Linked DNA regions of Coturnix japonica. The protein of the gene in region 1 purifies or fractionates together with the protein of each later gene. This does not show direct contact. Links are inferred from orthologs where the notes say so. Each region holds a gene or a part of one and is shown in the gene's direction. Other genes may lie near its edges.

Region 1 (4,219 bases):
ACGGGGCCCTGGGCAACCTGATCTAGTAAAGGTGTATGTTTGGTGGCCCTGCCAGGCAGGGGGGTTGGAACTACATGATTCTTGAGGTCCCTTCCAACCCGGGTCATTCTGTGATTCTGTGTGATTCTGTGATATACAAAAATATAGACAGATACTTGCATCCATATGATACTTACATGTATAATTTGTCTTTAATGCTTTCATACTTATTCACTTTTTCAGGACAATATTAGCTTTGGCTCATCTTTGCAATTGCACACATGCATCTACAGGAAAGCCCAGCTGCAAGATTTCATTTAAGGGGAGACTGCATTTGAAACCAGAAAATTTTAACGAAATCATTGTTGTAGGTTATATGAATGTTAAAACATCCCATTCAGCAAATGGAATGACCGCCCTCTGGTGGTGGGTCGAAAATCGATCCAATTGGAGAAGATATGCCTCCAGTTGAGTATAACAGCAAGAGGATAATCTTCATTCCTTATTGGACTGTACTTTCTGCTATTGAATACTTAGAGAGCATTATGTTGCCCGTAAGAAAGTGTGTGTTTTTAGGTATCAGTGATGTGTCACAGAAGCACACAGAATCACAGAATGACCCGGGTTGGAAGGGACCTCAAGGATCATGTAGTTCCAACCCCCCTGCCTGGCAGGGCCACCAAACATACACCTTTACTAGATCAGGTTGCCCAGGGCCCCGTCCAACCTGGCCTTGAACACCTCCAAGGACGGGGCATCCACAACCTCACTGGGCAGCCTGTTCCAGGGCCTAACCACTCTCCTAGTGAAGAACTTCCCCCTAACATCCAACCTAAATCTTCCCTCTTTTAACTTAAAACCATTTCCCCGTGTCCTGCTATTATCAGCCCTTTCCAAGAGTTTACTCCCCTCCTGGGAGTAAGTTCCCTTCAGGTATTGAAAGGCTGCAATGAGGTCACCCCGCAACCTTCTCTTCTCCAGGCTGAACAAACCCAACTCCCTCAGCCTGTCCTCATAGGGGAGGTGCTGGAGCCCCCTGATCATCTTTGTGGCCCTCCTCTGGACCCTTAACAAAATCTCCATGTCTTTCTTGTACTGAGGGCTCCACACCTGGACACAGTACAACAGATGGGGCCTCACAAGAGCCGAGTAGAGAGGGACAATCACCTCCTTATCCCTGCTGACCACCCCTCTCCTGATGGAGCCCAGGATCCCATTTGCTTTCCGGGCTCCCAGAGCGCACTGCTGGCTCATGTTGAGTCTTTCGTCCATCCCCCTGTGCAGCCTGTTCCATTGACCCCCACACAGCGCTCAGTGATGAGGGCACTGAGGTAACGATGCACACGGCGCTTCCGCTGCGAGAGAGCGGGAAATCCCCGCGGCACCGGATTGGTGCTCGGCCTTTGCGTCACCTTGGCCAGGTGCGCGCATGCGCAAACGCTCCATCCGCCGCCCGGCCGCCCACAGGTGGGGGAGGGTAGGAGCGGCCGCAGCGCTGAGCCCAGGCGGCCCCGGCACCCCCTCCACCCGGAGGTGGGGCGGGGATGGAGGCGCCTTTATCCCGCACGGGCCCCCAGCAACATCGGGTAGGGTTTTGAGTGCTCTGCCGTCTCATCGAAGTCCGCCGCCGGCGTGAAGGAGGAAGAGGAGGGGGCGCGCCAACATGGCCGCCGCCTCCAAGTGGGAGCGCCTGAGGCCGCTGCGGCCGGACACGCTGCGTCTGAGCGCGGTACGGAGCGGGCGGGGAATAGGGATGGAAATACAGCCTGGGAACGGCCAGAGGGCGGGGCTGGGATGGGCTGGGTTGGGGCTTGGATCCTGCTGCGGAGGGAGGGAGGGGTGTGTGGGGAGGGACGGCGCTGCGGGTTGCTGGGAGCGGGAGGACGTCAGGATAGAGCTTTTCTAATGTAGCTCTTTATAGAATCACACAGAATCACAGAATGAGCCGGGTTGGAAGGGACCTCAAGGATCATGTAGTTCCAACCCCCCTGTCTCTTTACGGGTAGAGTGGAGAGGTTTGATTTAAAACTTGGTTTCCCAGCCAAAATAGGAGTGCTTCACCACCAGTGCTTCTAATTAATGGGTACATATGACTGCAGAGAGTTGAGTGGTGGACTTAATAGAGACCCAGTACATTTTAAGCGCTAAAATCTGGAACGTGATGAAATGTAATCCCTTAAAAAGCTGTTTTAAAAGAGAAAACAGTTTCGGTTCTGTCTCTTTACAAAGAACAAGTTGACACGGTGCCAAAAACAAAAAATGCAGAACTAGAAAGAGGAGACAGAGCTGCTGGGGGCCATTGGGAAGGACAAGGAGGAGGTGGTGAAGCTGGGACCGAAGCTGGGAAGGCAGCGAAGGATGGTCGGAAAGTGGCATCGGCAGCCGAGGCCTATGGGGAGCTGTGAGGCAGAGTGGCCTCGTGAGGCTTATAGAGGTGTTATAGGCCTTGTGGGTTGGGTTTGTGTTCTGGGCCCTGTAGGGGGGATCCCAGGGCCTTCTAGAGCCTTTGTGGGGGGAGCATTCAGGAGTATAGGAGCATAGAATCACACAGAATCACAGAATGACCCAGGTTGGAAGGGACCTCAAGGATCATGTAGTTCCAACCCCCCTGCCTGGCAGGGCCGCCAAACATACACCTTTACTAGATCAGGTTGCCCAGGGCCCCGTCCAACCTGGTCTTGAACACCTCCAAGGACGGGGCATCCACAACCTCCCTGGGCAGCCTGTTCCAGGACCTAACCACTCTCCTAGTGAAGAACTTCCCCCTAACATCCAACCTAAATCTTCCTTCTTTTAACTTAAAACCATTTCCCATAGAGATCCCGTAAATGCTGTAACGGAGGAATTGGGGCCCTATAGATTCTATAGGGTGCTCCCAGGACACCATAGGGCAACAGAGACTCTTTACAGTGCCCTGTTGTCCAGGGCTCTCTCCCTCTCAGGTATTTTCTCAGACCTGAGTGCACTATTTGCAATCAGCCTCTCATCAGACTCTGGTGATGTTAAGCACCAAGTTAACCTGGTCATCTAGCTCAGGTCTGCTCCTGTGCTGTCCATGAGGTATGTAGCAAGAGCTCCACCTGCTTGTATGTCTGCAGCGTGCTGTGGGGACTGAGTGCAAGGCGTGGGGAAGGGCTGAGTGGCTGTGCTGGATGGTGACTGTACCACCTCCCTTGGTAGCCTTTTCCAATGGATCACCACTCTTTCCAAGAAAAAAAACAAACATTTTCTGGTATTGAACTTGAACCTCCCCTGGCACAGCACGTGCTTTGGGACTTTGGGAGAGCAGACTTCGGGACTCAGCTTATTCAGGCAACACATCACTGAAATATTGGGAGAGGCAGCTTGGAAAGATGAAGGGGTGGAGGCCTGTAAGGACATCATCGAGGGTGACTGGAGCTTTTTAACTGCCAAGGAAGGGTGAGTGAAGGAAAATGTGAATTTGCTGCTAAGGGGAAGAAGTGGTTTAGTGAAAGCAGACACAGATAAGGCTGGAGATGTTAGAAACCTCTGGGAATAGGCTGGAGGGATGGATCATCAAGGAGATGATCAACTTGAACAAGGAATTTGAAAATTAAGTCTGAATCCTATACCTGGAAGTGTAACTTGATGTGGTAAAGGCTGGGAAGTGAGATGTTATGGAATTATCCTGCTGAAGAGTCCTGTCCTGACCTGAGAATCTGTATGGACAGTGGGCTAAACATGAGATATCGGTATATCCTGCACTGAGGTGTATGCAGTTCTCCTTTGCTTGTCAAGTATTTGCTTCTGTGGGTGTGGGAGCCATAGTGGTGAGGCTGGTCTCTTTTCAGCAGTGCATGGGGATAGGACTAGGGGTAATGGGATGAAAGTACAGCATAGGAAGTTCCGCACGAATGTGTGGAAGAACTTCTTTACAGTGCAGGTGATGGAGCACTGGAACAGGCTGCCCAGGGAGGTGGTGGAGTCTCCTTCTCTGGAGATATTTAAGACCCGCCTGCATGCCTACCTGTGTGACATGGTGTAGGGAGCCTGCTTTGGCAGGGGGGTTGGACTTGATGATCTCTAGAGGTCCCTTCCAACCAATTCTGTGATTCTGGAGTGCTGTGTCTCATTTGGGACTGACCGATACAGGAAGGATGGTGATAAACTTGAGTGCAGCCATCAGCCATCTGTCAAAAGTGGCACATGTGTTAAGACACGTAACTGAAGGAGCATTTTAAGCCACAGCAACCCACGACTAATTGCAACTACTGTTCTT
Region 2 (3,515 bases), on another chromosome or scaffold:
AGTGTTTCTTCAGGCTCTGCTGTCAGATATTATTTGAGTGGGTTAAATAGGCTGAGGAAGTGCTTGGAAAGTAGCGTTAACCAGAAGATGTAGTGAAACCTTTAATACTTAGAGCAAAAAGCAACGCAACCTTGACTTTGTTGTTGCTTACTGGCCTTTGAGATAAAGGATCAGATCCTGTAATACTCATTTTCTTCTGTGGAAGATTCTGTAGATACCTACAATCCTAGAGAGTTGGTGTTTCTTTTAAATAGACATTAATTTGATACAGAGATCCAAAACATTGAGGTGATGAGAATGACCAAAGCTGAGAACAGGTATCAGAAAACAGCCTTCCATTGAACCAAAGGGATTTTAGTCCAGTGGAGAGCACAGATGGAGATGTTCCACTTGTAGCCCACCTGTCTCAACACCAGTAATTAGAATGTTGTTAGCATGGTATAGTGAGTCTTTTCTCCTTTCCCGCCCCCCACCCACCCCTCCCTGTTTTCTTCATCTCATTTCTCTTTATAATGCTTTCATTTATTGCAGTCAGCAGCCTTCATAGACAAGTTGGATGTTTTCATATGTTTGTGTTCATTTACTTCCAGTCCTGCATTCTTTTTTTTTTCCCCCTGTGGAGGCAAAAAAAAGCCAGTGTGGTTGGTACTTCTCAGACATAAATACTGGGTTCAAAATACACCTGGGACGTGCAGGTAGTTATTACCAAAATAGAAATACGTGCTCTGTTTTAAATAATCTCTTTTCTATTCCCAACTCCAAACAAGTGTCGCACGAGATGTAACCATATGTGGAAACTCACTGTTTGAAGGGGGAACTTGAACCTTTTCCTCATCTTTGCTTTCTTGCACCTTCAATTCGTGGCTTGCTAACAAAAGTAAGGGTGTCTGGGGGAGAAGTTAATGCAGAAACAAAAGGAAGAACACAACAGATAGGCTTGGAAAGACAGCTCAGCTTCTTCGCTTTGTGAAAAACAAGAGTTTTCTTTGCATCTGACAGACACTTTTTCCCCTTCCTTTTACCACACTGAGAAATAATCCTGCAAAATCTCAAAATCAGTTTCAAAATGGCTTCGCAATACGCTCAAACTAACCCACGTTCAGTCTAGAGAGGACTAGAAAAGTGCCATGAAGTAAATGCAGGTGCTCCATGACTTCTGCTTGCCTGCTTCTGTCGTGTAGGAAGCGCATTAGTGAGGAAGTAGCTTTGTCTGCTTTAAGGTGCTGCATGACTGTACGCTCTCAGAGCTTTATACTGTCCCCATTAATTTATGGCTGCCATTTGAACAATTTTTCCTATAAGGAGCAATCCAAAATGGCCATCAGACCGTTTTTGGTCCGTTGGTGCTCCAGATAATGGGATACGACAAGATTCTAGACACGTCCTGACCTTTTCCAGATTGCAAACAAGGAAATTCTGAAAGGTGTCCTTCTATCAATATTGAGTTGTGCCTTATTAAACTGGGAATGCCTTGAGGATGATGTGGATGTAATATTTCTTTTAAGAACTTTGAAGAATATTATTTAAAGTATATCGAATGTCAACTTAAAACACTTGATTTGTAAATTAGCAAGAGTTTAATGACATGTTAAGTGCTGTACCTTAAGTGTAGCTGTCTTAACGTTTGCACCTTTCTGCCATCCCTTTGAATGTTAGTTACATGGGTGCGTGGCTGATAGTGGGAAAGGACTGCAGTAGTTTGCTGCTCCTGGCATGCATCCTGTTCAATAATTATCGATTATCATTGAATATTCTGTTTATGGTAGCACTGCATTGTAAACTTTGCTCCCATCAGCCTTTTTTTTTTTTTTTTTGGAAAAGGCAGTAACCACCTTATTTTTTATTGTTATTATTTTATTTTTATTATTATTATTAGCACCCCTTTTCTGTTTGATGCATTTTCCCTTATTACTTTTCTTTACTTCTGCCTCATGCTGTTTCTTGCCCTCCGCCTTTTCACAGGCACGGAGTTAACATATAGAAGCTTGATAAAAATATTGAGCATGTAGCACTCTGAGAATTAAATTTCTAAGGGGAGTGGAGGCACTGAGTGTATGGACAAAGATATTTCACCTTAATAAAAACTGGTGTTCTGTGTTGGGTATATCATTAAGTGGCTGAAAAAAAACAACCAAAACCAACCCAAAATATGACCATGTCTTGCTCAGGTTACCCGACCTCATGCACTAATGTGAAACGAGTCTGAGCTTCTGGCTCTAGTGTGAATAAATACATGATTCCTTGCTGTTTACTGAGCAAAGTTGGATTTGGCCAGTGAAGTAACGATGTAAAAGCAAAAGAATGAATAATGGCATTCTGAATTTCTTTTGTAGCACAAAATGGGAAAGAAACAAAATGGCAAAGGTAAAAAAGTTGAAGAGGCAGAGCCTGAAGAATTTGTTGTGGAGAAAGTCCTGGACAGACGTGTTGTGAATGGAAAGGTGGAATACTACTTGAAGTGGAAAGGATTTACAGAGTAAGGCATTACCATTATTTTTTCTGGTACAATGCTAAATATTAACCATTTATTTGAAATAACTGTGTGGATGGGGGATTGGATGGTGGGGATACACTTGAAAGAGCTGAAAGGGAAGGACAGCATAAATGTCTATTCAAGTGGGGCAGGCGAGTATGACAATAAAACTGAAGATAGGTAGCTTAGGGTTTGTGCTTGGTCACGTTCCAAAACTCATACAAAGCCCTCAGTGATTGTTCTTTTGCCACTGCTCTTTGATGTAGCTTGTGTCAATATCAAGCAAGGTATGTTAGACTGATAGTTGTCATAAAATAGGTATACTTTCATATGCAGAGGAATGAATGTTATTTCTGAGAAATAAAGTTTGCAGGGCTATAAACAGTAGGCAGCACTGAAGCAGTGAATTTGAGGAGGTTGGGGGGTTCTTTGCTTTTTTGAGTTGCTCTTAGACGTATCAAAAAGGTATTTTTCAGCCTCTTTCTGAGTGCTTGCATCAGCTAAGAAAAGGGGATGCATTGGATGTTAAAACCTAGCATTTTAACATTAGTAGTTACATATACACATCTCCCAAAGCAGCCTTCTGCATTCTAGCACCTTAAAGTTTTGGTAACTGAAAATAATGGGTGGGCATCCTCTTTGTGAAGTAGCGCTGTGGCAGTATTAGTGGCTGAGGGCTTCAGATGAGGTGCTTGATTGTTGGATGGAACGTTCATGGACGGCGTAAAATGTTATTTAACAGAATACATACTCTCTAGAACAGTTGCAATACCCAGCTCTGGATATGGAGCCTTTTATTTTTTTCCATATAATTACAGACTATTAGCATGGTTTGAGTTGGAAAGGACTTCAGGGTCCACACAGTTCCAGCCCCCTGCCATGGGTGGGCTGATGCCCATTAGCTCAGGTTGCCCAGGGCCCTATCCAACCTGGCCTTGAGTTCCTCCAGGGATGGAACATCCACAGCTTCTCTGGGCAGCTGTGCCAGTGCATCACCTCTCTCTCAGTGAAGAGATTTCCCTGATATCTAATCTAAATCTCC
Region 3 (3,515 bases), on another chromosome or scaffold:
CTGCAGTGGGATTGAAGTTAAATTCTGTGGATCCAACAATGAGCATTGACTTGAAATACTTGGGTGTGCAGCTTCCCCTTTCCTACTCAAATTATTCTTTGTGGAGCTATCCAGGAACAAACCCCAATTCTCCAGGTGAGTGGAACACAAATCTGCTTGATTGAAAGTATTACATTGTATAGTCGATGATCAGAGGGATTCGGGACGTGATGCTGTTCAGAGGTAGTATTCTTTTTCCTTAGGGCAGGGATATTCAACTTTCCAAAAGCCCATAAACAAAACACTGTAAAAAGCATTTAACGTTTTATTTGATTAGGTTTTTGTTGTTGGGTTTTTTGTTTGTTTTGTTTCTTTTTTTCCCCACAAAGCTTTTGATGAAATATGCTTTTAAAATTACAACTTCTTGTGTTAATTTATTTGGTATCCCAACAAATGCAGTTTCTCATTAAGATATGACTGATTCTACTACTGGTAAAATACTGTTTTTTTAACAGTAAACTTGTTAGCTAAACAAAGCACAGGGTGGTTAATTCCAGTGTCTCTCTTGCTTCAGTATTCTGACTGCTGTTGTTTTCTCCCTGTACTGATTTTGGAGCTGGTAAAGTGGCAGTCCTTGTGTCCCAGACTTGTGTATACCACAAAAGAGGCTCATTCAATTCAGAGCACCCTAGTCCAGCTCTGTGTCAAGGGCAATTACTTCTAGACTAGCAATATATAAAACAGCTACAAAGGATCCTGTTAATATATCCACATTACACTTCAGCACTCAGAGATCGTGGATCATTTGACAGAGCTGTCACTGTTTAACTTTTGTGATTATTCTGTCTCTATGCTTCACAGATATTCTGTTGAATTTGACAGAACAGCAAACATTAAATGTAGTTCCTACAGGTCACTCAGATTCATTAGCTAAACTGTGAATGAGAAGCACAACTTACTTTCCCCATTCAGCTCAAAACTTACTTGTCCCGTTTTAGCCTGTTTGCATTTGGAAAGCAACTGCTTGCATTATTGCTAAGGGAAGAAGGGTGAAACTGGAGAGGATATTTTATGTGTAGGATAGAGGAATGCATAGTTACATGATAATTGTCCTGGATGCCTGGCTTTGTTACTTATTCCCTTAATTAGGGAAAAAAGGCACCTTATTCTGCCTTTTGATCTATTAGAGTGCATGCATCTCTGAAAATAAATAAACAATTCACTAGGATATTTATGTCAATCTTGATTTACAAACTGAGGCTGGCTTTCTTCTTTTCCAGATACTGGATTTCCTTTTGTTTCAAGAACAGGAAAGACAAATGATTTCAGGAAGATCAAAGGCTGGCGGGGGAAGCTTCATGGTGCTTCTAGAAATGAAGGTAGAAGAAACAGAATGGGATTAAAATAAAAGTGATGAGACGAGTGCAGATATTTTTATGACCTTTTTTCTTAATCTTGGAGAGATTTTGCAATTCAGTTTTAGTGTGTATTTTAATGGGAGAATTATTTTTGTTTTGGGATTCTCTTGAATATTGCTACTACTTCCATGAACAGCCAAGAATGAGCGGTTATAAGGGGAAAAGAGAAACTGAAAATAATAAAAAGAACAGAATCAACAAAAAACATATTCTATTATACACAGAAGGTTTCAGTGAAAATCAAAGTGGTATTGGTTTTGGTTTTGTTCATCTGGTTTAACCTGGGGAACAGTGTGGTAAGTCCAGGCTTCTGTTGCCCTAGAGACTTCACAATGATTTTCTTTTAGATTGGATGTATTTTTAACTCTAGATAGGTGAATATTTCTACATATTCAACTCTTTGCCCTGCCACAGAGAGAAATGAGTATTCAGCAGTTTGCCAGGTCATGTTTGGAAATTAGGTGAAATATTTCTACTGTACTCTCTGCATTTGAATACAGTGTTGTGTCAGGGTATTACGGATTTATTCTGCTGTTGCCAGATACATGTGGGATACGTATTTAGGGCAAACGAAAGTAAGCTGCACAGAAGCACTGACTGTTGAAGACTTTCTCTTTTTATGAATGTACATGCTTGTAAAATTTCTACAAAAAGAGTTGTTCAGACTGCTGGCTGTGTTTGAGATTGAGTTATATTTGATATTTGTGTGTTGTATTCTTAAAGTAATTACATACTTCTTTAAAGAAGTATTTAGCTCTTCTATACTGTTGAGTTGTAGTAAGATTTAAACATATGTATATATATATATATAAGATAAAAGCTTGTCAGCATGCTTTCCCAGGGGCCAGGTAAAATGCCCTTCATTTATTTAGGTGGAGGTTCAGAAGGTTCCTTGAAGAATCGCTCAGCATTCTGCAGTGACAAGCTGGATGAGTACCTGGAAAATGAAGGGAAGCTGATGGAAACGAGTATGGGATTCTCTTCTAGCACGCCCACTTCCCCTGTGGTCTATCAGCTTCCCACCAAGAGCACTAGCTACGTGCGAACACTAGACAGTGTTTTGAAGAAACAATCTACCGTAATTCCATCCACATCTCACACCTTCAAGCCTGCTTCTCTGTCATCTACCTCTAGGAAGACAAGGACTCAAAACAGACAAACATCTTCAAACAGCAGAGGGAGATCATCCTACAAGCCTATACTGCCTTCACCTTTTCCTGCCAAGCAGAAACAGAACCTTTCAGCATCAGTGGAAAAGGCTGCTAAGTCTCTCTCAAGTAGCAGTTCGAGTAACCAAGCAGATGGTCTCCTGATACCAAATCTGGATGAAAGCGTACTGCCAAAACAAATAAGTTTGCGCCATGTGCCACAACAGCAACAAGCATCTCGTCCGCCAGGTTTGTCTAAATCTCAAGTGAAGCTAATGGACTTGGAAGACTGTGCTCTCTGGGATGGCAAACCACGAACCTACATTACAGAAGAACGAGCAGATATCTCTCTGGCTACCCTGCTTACGGCTCAGGTAGGTAGCACTATTTTTCATTCTGTCTTTCAGTACTGTTGCTTTTTCAATTGTCTGTAGTTACTGAAGCTGCCTGTAGATGCAGAAAATGAGACTGAAGCTACTTATGAGCATGACAAAACACGATCTTCCTTTGTGTTGCAGCCTTTGTATTGGAAGTTCAGATCTGCTGTCTTAACAGTATGTGAAAATGCTAACTGTATTAGTAACGTGTTGATAGGAATCATTAATTGTTTATTATCTCAATTTCCCTGTTAAAAGTTGATGGGTACAGTTGCTATTCCATAACTGCACCTCCTTACTATTTGACACTTTTTTTTTTTTTTTCAATAGGGCTAACTCAAAGAAACAAAAAAGACATCGTGTAACTTTGATGTCAGCTGATAAACTCTTTTGCTTTCTTCATCACCCACTTCATAGAGAGGCTGTTTAGCTGTCTTAAATTGCATCTCAGAATATTAAAACATAAACTCTCCTCTATTGTATTTTTTTCCATACGTGTGACAGATTTTCATAGATAACCAGACCATGTAGTAGGAGGGAGTTATTATTCTGAATGAACTTAGAATAGCAATTTCACTTGCACTTGATTTCAT
Region 4 (3,185 bases), on another chromosome or scaffold:
GAGGTTTGAGGTTGGCTCAGGTTCCCCTCAGCATCCCCACCTGCACACCAACAGAGAGCTGCTCGTGCTGAAGTTGGGTAGAGTTCAGGTGGTCCTGTCCCTGCACATCTCCCTCTTAGTAAGCACACTACAGCCTCAGCCAGGTAGCAGGGGCACCTCAGCTATTGCACCTTTATCATTTCTCTGACTGTGAAAGGTAAGAGTGTCCCTCTGAAGAGTTTATTCCTTTCCTTGTCACAGGGAGGCCATTGCCTCACCTCTGCAGATTATTTCCTTCTGCATCCAAGCTACAGATCTCATTTTTTTTGCCTGTCCCTGCCCAACATGCACTAGGCCTCTCTCCCCTGTGCTGCCTCAGCCTGCCACCCTGTGCCCTCACGTGGAAGCACAGACAACGGCTGCACTATGGCCTTGCTTTCCCCTCAGCCAGTTGTCTCGGGAAGAGGGCGCTGACTCGGGGGGATGGGTATATCTTGTTTCTCGCTTATATCACTTGATCCCAGTTACCTACTGGTTATGGGACTTGGCTTTCGTTTCCCTCTCATCTCTATGGCAGAGCTCACAACTCCAGCGAAGGCCAAGGAGGTGCCCAAGAAGAGGAAGAAACCCTATGGAAAGAAGAGTGAGTGATGTTTGACTAGTGCCCTCCCGCTCGCTCGCAGGCTGGGCCCAGTTAGAGGAACCCTGTCTATGATCTGTCAGAGCAGGAGAGAGAGGCCTCGTCTTGCTGTGTTTGCTCTCAGTCAGCTCTGGGTGTGACAGCTCAGCTTCATCCTTCTTACTCGCCCCCATTATCCAAGAGCAGAGCGCTGTGTGTGTGTGAGAAGGCTCTCACAGTCTTTTCTGTTGGCTGAGGTACAAGTGGTGCTTGTTTCCAGGCGTGAGGTGTGCTGCTTTCCTACCATGTCTGTGGTAAGAGGGAGATTCTTGGCCGCAGCTGGAGGGCAGCCAGAGAGCAGCCCTGGCTGCTTTGTGCTGAAGGAAAGAAAGCCTTAAGATGGCTGAAGAGGCCAGTAGTGGGGCTGGACCATGTCACTGTTCTACCTTGTCCTTGTTGCTATCACTGTTGCAGTAGGTGTGGCAAGTAATGCATAGACAGGCAAGGAGTTCCTTTCTGGGGGGTGGAGAGCAATGGACATCTAAAGAGTATAAAGACACTGAACTTAAATAAAAACATGAGCTAAAAATTAAACTATCAATGCTACGCAGTCCATGCCCTGGAGTCACCATGCCCATTTCCTAGGGCTAGACCCAGACAGGTAAGCAAAGCTTTAATGGACTCCAGCAGGACCACCTCCTGGGAATGTATCACATGCTAAAGTCCTTTATTTCTATTGAAGGACAATGTGGAGGAGCATATGCTGAGGTGATGAATGTAGAGTTCTTCTTCAGCAGCTCCTTTTCTTTTGAGTAACCAGTTGGCAGCCAGTGATGGTGTAATTTGCTGGTTGGTTGAGCTGGTCCTTGGCCTGTGGCTTCTCAGTGGAGCTGGGGTGATGATTTACTGGGGGAAAGAAGTGCACATTTTCCTATGTTTTGTTATCTCTTTCTTAAGGAAAAAAGTTACCTGCCAAAACCCACACCATCAAGCAGACAGTCAAGAAGCCTCCCGCATCACGGATAAAAAGAGAAGCAAAAGCTTCCAGCAAAGCTTTGCCAGATCTGGCACCTGATGAGAGTAAGGGAATGAGTTACTTTACCTTGTAGCCATGTGCAGCTCTGGTGCTGGGGAAGGGGGTTGGGTGAGGTGCTTGGTGTGTGTTGGGGTGAAGCCTCAGAAGGGTTCCAGTTGCTCATAAAGGCTTAATTTCCCCTTTGTGTGGACCCAGAGAGATAGAAGGTGGACCGCGCTGGCTTTCCCTGTATTTATTTCCCCTTCTCTCTTTCTGTCCATTGCTAGTCATTGCCGTGCAGGTGAAAGAAGAAACCATCGACCCCTCAGAGGCAGTGTTTGATACTACAGAGCTTCCCGTTCCTATCAGCAGCATAAAGCAGGAAGACACAGACTGACCTTGGAGCGTCCTGCGGTTGCCTCGCCTCAATTGTGGCCCTCTGGGAAAGGTCCTGTCAGTGGGAAGTAGAAGACTTAGAGGGGCCTTCTCTTGTGGCAGGTCACCCTGCATCATCACATCTCTGCTTTCTTGGTGAGCAGGAAGGTTGCCCCTAGGCCTGCAACTTTAAGCCTTAGCAAATAGACTCCAGAAAAGCCCCAGGCTTGCAGAGGAGCGCGAATAGGGTGGGTGCTGCGTGCAGCAGTTTGTTCCCAGCCCCAGAGGCGTCTTTCTGAGCTGAAACCCCTGATGGGGAAAGGCTGCCAAAGGGCAGTCTGGGCTCTCAGCTGCGGCTGGAGGTGTCAAACTTGTGATGTGAGATGATGTGTGCGGGTCACATGTGTCAGGGAATGGGCTGCCATGCTGTGCTCCCTGGGTGCAGCTGCTGCCTTCGGGAAGGGCAGGAGAGGAAGAGTGGAAGGGGTGAAAAATGGAAGAGAAAGGACAATGCCTCTTGAGTGAGCAAGAGACCTTGTTGTGTATCATCACTTCTTGCTTTGGAACCCAGAACTGCAGCGTGCGTGGTGCACAGTTTGAGGTTTTTATTTTTTAGTAGTCCTACTGTAAATCTTGATCAACAATCTGTATCCTGAGGCCCTATGGATTAAATGAAGGAAGAAGTCAGAGGTTTGTGTCATGTTCTCCAGAATACCAGGCCTACCCAGACTGGGGAGAAAAACTAATCAGAAAGGTCAGTGTGGCAACAGAGGTGAAGAAGCTTTCTAAGAGTTCCTGTGAGCTTTGTACAGGTGGGGAAGTGCCTGCCCTGCCCGTGGTGCTGTGGGCCCTGCCTGGCTGCAGCACATCTGCCTTGTTAAATGCTGCAGGTTGTGCAGGGCAGTGTCTTAGTCACAAAATGGCTGCCCTGGCCCTGCTCCCCTCTCCAGTTTCTGCTCCCCAGCCCTGAGTCTATCCAGCTTGCATTAGATGCAGGGGGATCCCATTCCAAGGCAAAAGCAGAATGTTTCCTCTCATCCCCTCCCAGCGGTGCCAGCCCATGGACTGTTGCAGGGAATAGGTCAGGTGTGCTGCTTAGGAATGGGATGGGTGAACCATGGATCAAATTGTGCAAAAAGGAGAAAGATTTCAATCTGCTTTTGTTTTAATTCTAAGGAGCAGCTGGGATTTCAGGCA
Region 5 (4,221 bases), on another chromosome or scaffold:
AGCATACAAATAGATGAAAGAAATTGCAATAGAGGAAGAAAGGAGCAGGCAAGGCAGATAAAGGGAAAACAAGCAGCTAGGGAGTGGAAAATGACAACACTGGTAACAGGATGCAAATGCAGGAGGAAATGAGGATTAACAACCGAACACAAGTAGGAAATACTATGCAGCCTTCAAATTGCTTGCATCCAGGATCACAGGAGCGATGCAGAAAACTGCAGCCTGTACAAGTGTTAGTACTTAAGCATTAGTACTTTTACATACATGTAGATGTTCCACATAATGGATCTTTCATTGCTTCTACAAGAAGATGTCAAGCCCTTTACCCACGTTTTCCACTCCTTCATCACTTCCCAATATTTCTAGCTGAAATTCTTTACAAACTTTGCCTTCGGAAACGAGAAGTTTCTCTATTATCCACTCGCTAAATTTCTAAAGATGCCCCAACAACTCCAGCTGTGCTTGTTCACACACTCGGGTGAATCACCCCTTGGGGCACGTTTTGTTCTCAAAACCCCGCCGTTCCTACGCAAAGGCGATGCAGCAAAACCAGCTGTGGTCACTGCGATGCTGACCACCTCATTGTCTGCTCGCACTCTGCCATCTACCTGTACCGAACCGCCTTTGTTACACACTCCGGACATGTGCTCTTTGTTCTGTTTGCGCAGCATCCTGCAAAATGGCACCCTGCCCTGTGCCCGGGGCTGCTGCGTGCGGAGATAGCGCAGGTACACGACCGCTGTGCGCCACAGCACACAGCACACAGCAGTGTTTGAAGCGCAGTACTGCACATGGATACAGGCAGCATCGTGGGGCGGACAGGCCGGGTCGCACCGGAGGTTTCTAAGCAGAACCCCACTTAGCGCTCGGTTGGTTCCGCACAGCTCGGCCTGCACGGTATCTTCGGGAGCAGAGCGAAGCAGGATTACCACGGGAAAAGCCCGTTCCTAAGGGCAGAGCTGCACGGGCTGTACAAACACCTCACCTCTCTCTCGGAGGCCGTACCCCGGGCTCAGCCCTTCTGCAGGCGGCCGAGGGCTGCTCTCCACACCGACTGACGGCGGCCCGGCCCCGCACAGCCGCGCTCTGCCCGGCAGCGGCCTCCGCCCCGCGCTGGGCCTCTGCGAGCCGAACGCCGCGGCCCCGTTCCCGTCAGCCGGACAATGGCCGCAGGACGCCCCGCCGCTGCCGGCCCCGGGCACGGCCGCGCCGCCTCCTCTCCCCTGTCGTCTCCTCTCGTCTCCTTTCCCCTCCCCTACGGCCGCCCCCAGCAGCCCCCGCGTTGCCCCGGTCCCGCCGCCTCCCGGCCCGCAGCGCCCGATCCCCGGCGCTCTCCAGCCGCGAACCTGCCGCCGTGCGCGGCCCGCCGGGCTCCGCGGCCTGCGGGCGGCCGCTGGTTGGCGGCGGGGGGACACGTGAGGGAGGAGGGGGCAGCGGCGGCGGCAGGAGTTTCCCCGACAGCTGGAGGTTGCGGCGGTGGCTCCTCCTCCGCGGGTCCCCGTTAGAGGCGAGAGACCCCCGCGCTCCTCCTTATTGACAAATACACAAAGGGCCGCGCCGGGGCCGGGCCGGGGACGCGTGTGGAGGCGGCATGGGAGACAAGAAGAGCCCGACCAGGTAGGGCAGCGCCGCCGCCTTCCCGGGGCCCGCTCGGGTGCGCGGGGCCGGCGGCGATGGCGCCCGGGGGGGGGGCCGGTGTCGGGCGGCGCGCCCCGACCGTGCCCCGCGTGTGCTGTGTCTCCGCAGGCCGAAGCGGCAGCCGAAACCCTCCTCGGACGAGGGCTACTGGGACTGCAGCGTCTGCACCTTCCGCAACAGCGCCGAGGCCTTCAAGTGCATGATGTGCGACGTGAGAAAGGGCACCTCCACACGGTGAGTCCCCGCCGGCGGCCCCCGGTTCGCGAGGCGGCGGCCCTGACGGTAGCGGGGCCGCGTTCGGCGGGGGGGGGAACCGGGCCGGGCCGGGGGGTTCCCTCCCCACAGCGATCCGTGCACCAGCGGCGTCCCACGAGGAGCTGCTCTATGCCAGCCGTCAGAAGGTGCACGGTGACCTACCTGCTCCCTGCCCCTCCTGACACCGGGCCAGCGGGGGCTTCACACGGCCAGCGGGAGTGCTGGCCGGGGAGAGCATTATTAAAGGATCCTTTGTTAGTGTATGGAGCTTATGGCTTAATGCTGTCAGCCGGAGAAGTTTGAGTGGCAATAAAAGTTGCGATCCTATGATGAGCAGCAATTGCGTTTTAGATAGCATTCATAACAGCGCTGAATGTGACTCGCAGCAAACGTTACACATTTGTAAGTGCAGATGCGTGGTGAGAATGATGCGTCTCTATTTCTGAAGTTGATTTCCTGGAGTTCTGCGAACTGGAGCATGTGTCGGAAGTGCTCATAACTTCAGCTTCGAATATGTATATGTGTATATCATAAATAAGGCAATCAGTGAGGTAAATGTGCCGAGAGGAATTGCATCTGTCACATACAGCGTGCTTTCCAGCGATAAGTGTGGCGTTCTGTTGTATCGCAGGTAGATGTGCTCCAGCTGGTCACGTTCAGCAAAATAAAGGGATGATTGTAAGTTTGGGAAGGCAGCACGGCTGGAGGCTGCAGCCATCCTCAGCCTCCGGCCAGTCTGATAGACAAAGTGACTTCAGATTCCACTGATCCTGAAACTCAGTTGATGAAAGCACTAAGACGAAACAAACAATCAAGCAGGTCCTGAGATACCTGTGTCACCATTGCTTTTTTCCCCCTCCTTCTTGAATACTTTATAGGTTTTGGACTGTGACATAAATTGAACGTATTTTAGGAACGATTATTTTTTCTTTCCTCTTTCTCCCTCACAGCGTTGTGATATGCAGAGTTTTAGCTGATACCGTCATTTTTATTTCTCTGCTTAAACTCTGAAGTGATGGGGTTTGTGGATGTCATTTTCCCATTCAGTTTAAATGGGTCATGTTTTCATGTAGGTGCAAAGTCTGGGGTTATCAGATAGATGTTGGGGGGTGGGGTGGGCTCGAATGGGCAGTTTTAGGTCCAGCTCTGAGCTGAGATGTGAGCTGGTGAGTAGACCTTTGTATCTATGGAGAGAAGAATCCTTAGGGTGCCAAGGAGACACAAAAGGCTGTTTGGGTGGATTGATTGATTGATTGATTTAAAGGAAATGAAGTCCAAGGCACCAAATTGGGGCCCTATTAAACCATTTAGTCGTACCACCCTTAGAATTAGACATTTTTGTTGGCGTTGTTCACAGTCACAATACCGTGCAGTTCTGATGGCACTGGGAATGTTGGGGGATTTTTTTGTCTTCCATTTTGAATCTTAATGTTTGTATGTATGAAGCCGATGCCTCAGCACAGTTCTTAAGTGTGCATTGGTTCTTACTTCCAAATTCCTGCTTTTTTCTTCTTTAAATCAATGAAATCTATGTCTACTAGACATAGTAGCCCCTATGTGATGTAAGCAGTGATGTAAAGCACCTTTTTTTAGTTCAGAGAAATCTGTTTCTTTGTGATGAACTGTTTGATGTCTGCTTCTGAGTGTTAAAATTCTCTAAATGTGAACAGATTTGCAGATAGAGAACCAGGCAATCACAGTCAAGTGAAATGCTTTTGAAGGCCACTGCAAATTAGGTTAAGTTGATTGTAACTCGCGTGTTTTTATGCTAATTGTGTACAATTAATTTCACAGAATCTTACTCAGGTGCAAATTTAGAGTCAGATTTATGTGTGTTTTTACTGTTGAACCATTTTCCTCTCTCCAGAAGAATAACCTTTGATGCTAAGGGCAACATATGGATTATGAACTTTAAAACTGGTGGCGTTGTTAAGGGTAGTGGGAATAATTCTTACGACTCCTCAGTCATATTTTATTATACTTCTGGAGGGAGCTCTCAGTCATGGACTTGAATTAACTTGTTCCATGGTAGTGTCACCGTGGATGATTAAACCAGGTTGTTCTTGGACAGGAGACATCCAAGAGAAATCCTGGATGCAGCAAGAAGGGACATAACAGACTCCCAAGGTGGCACTGTTTTCTTTGGGTTTATAATGAACCAGTGCCCAGCATGGAGCCAGTTAGATGTGCTGTGAGTCAGGTGGGAAGCTGACATCCCATCTGCCGGTTGGAAATCCCTGTGTGTTTTGCTGTTTGCTCGACTGAAGACCTAAATTTTCCTGTAGACATGGCTTTCTTATTTACTTTCTAGACTAAATTGTTCTGTAT

Evidence for each region.
Region 2: the proteins of E2F6 (region 1) and CBX3 purify together in Homo sapiens (affinity purification with mass spectrometry; 4 studies listed by BioGRID and IntAct, with this or other methods). This does not show direct contact. The link is inferred for Coturnix japonica from reciprocal best matches to the Homo sapiens genes E2F6 and CBX3.
Region 3: the proteins of E2F6 (region 1) and MGA purify together in Homo sapiens (affinity purification with mass spectrometry; 3 studies listed by BioGRID and IntAct, counting the BioPlex papers as one, with this or other methods). This does not show direct contact. The link is inferred for Coturnix japonica from reciprocal best matches to the Homo sapiens genes E2F6 and MGA.
Region 4: the proteins of E2F6 (region 1) and L3MBTL2 purify together in Homo sapiens (affinity purification with mass spectrometry; 5 studies listed by BioGRID and IntAct, counting the BioPlex papers as one, with this or other methods). This does not show direct contact. The link is inferred for Coturnix japonica from reciprocal best matches to the Homo sapiens genes E2F6 and L3MBTL2.
Region 5: the proteins of E2F6 (region 1) and YAF2 purify together in Homo sapiens (affinity purification with mass spectrometry; 4 studies listed by BioGRID and IntAct, counting the BioPlex papers as one, with this or other methods). This does not show direct contact. The link is inferred for Coturnix japonica from reciprocal best matches to the Homo sapiens genes E2F6 and YAF2.

The regions. Positions count from the first base shown.
Region 1 is NC_029518.1:88,734,196-88,738,414, reverse strand, and holds the start of E2F6 (transcription factor E2F6), read left to right. Parts: upstream 1-1,405; 5' UTR 1,406-1,642; coding exon 1,643-1,708; intron 1,709-4,219. UniProt on the Homo sapiens protein: Inhibitor of E2F-dependent transcription. Binds DNA cooperatively with DP proteins through the E2 recognition site, 5'-TTTC[CG]CGC-3'. Has a preference for the 5'-TTTCCCGC-3' E2F recognition site.
Region 2 is NC_029517.1:29,457,688-29,461,202, forward strand, and holds part of CBX3 (chromobox protein homolog 3), read left to right. Parts: intron 1-2,333; coding exon 2,334-2,476; intron 2,477-3,515.
Region 3 is NC_029520.1:22,373,085-22,376,599, forward strand, and holds part of MGA (MAX gene-associated protein), read left to right. Parts: intron 1-6; coding exon 7-135; intron 136-1,259; coding exon 1,260-1,358; intron 1,359-2,269; coding exon 2,270-2,919; intron 2,920-3,515. UniProt on the Homo sapiens protein: Functions as a dual-specificity transcription factor, regulating the expression of both MAX-network and T-box family target genes. Functions as a repressor or an activator.
Region 4 is NC_029516.1:45,382,151-45,385,335, reverse strand, and holds the end of L3MBTL2 (lethal(3)malignant brain tumor-like protein 2), read left to right. Parts: intron 1-556; coding exon 557-622; intron 623-1,555; coding exon 1,556-1,678; intron 1,679-1,900; coding exon 1,901-2,010; 3' UTR 2,011-2,675; downstream 2,676-3,185. UniProt on the Homo sapiens protein: Putative Polycomb group (PcG) protein. PcG proteins maintain the transcriptionally repressive state of genes, probably via a modification of chromatin, rendering it heritably changed in its expressibility.
Region 5 is NC_029516.1:26,706,519-26,710,739, reverse strand, and holds the start of YAF2 (YY1-associated factor 2), read left to right. Parts: upstream 1-1,413; 5' UTR 1,414-1,591; coding exon 1,592-1,617; intron 1,618-1,746; coding exon 1,747-1,872; intron 1,873-4,221. UniProt on the Homo sapiens protein: Binds to MYC and inhibits MYC-mediated transactivation. Also binds to MYCN and enhances MYCN-dependent transcriptional activation. Increases calpain 2-mediated proteolysis of YY1 in vitro.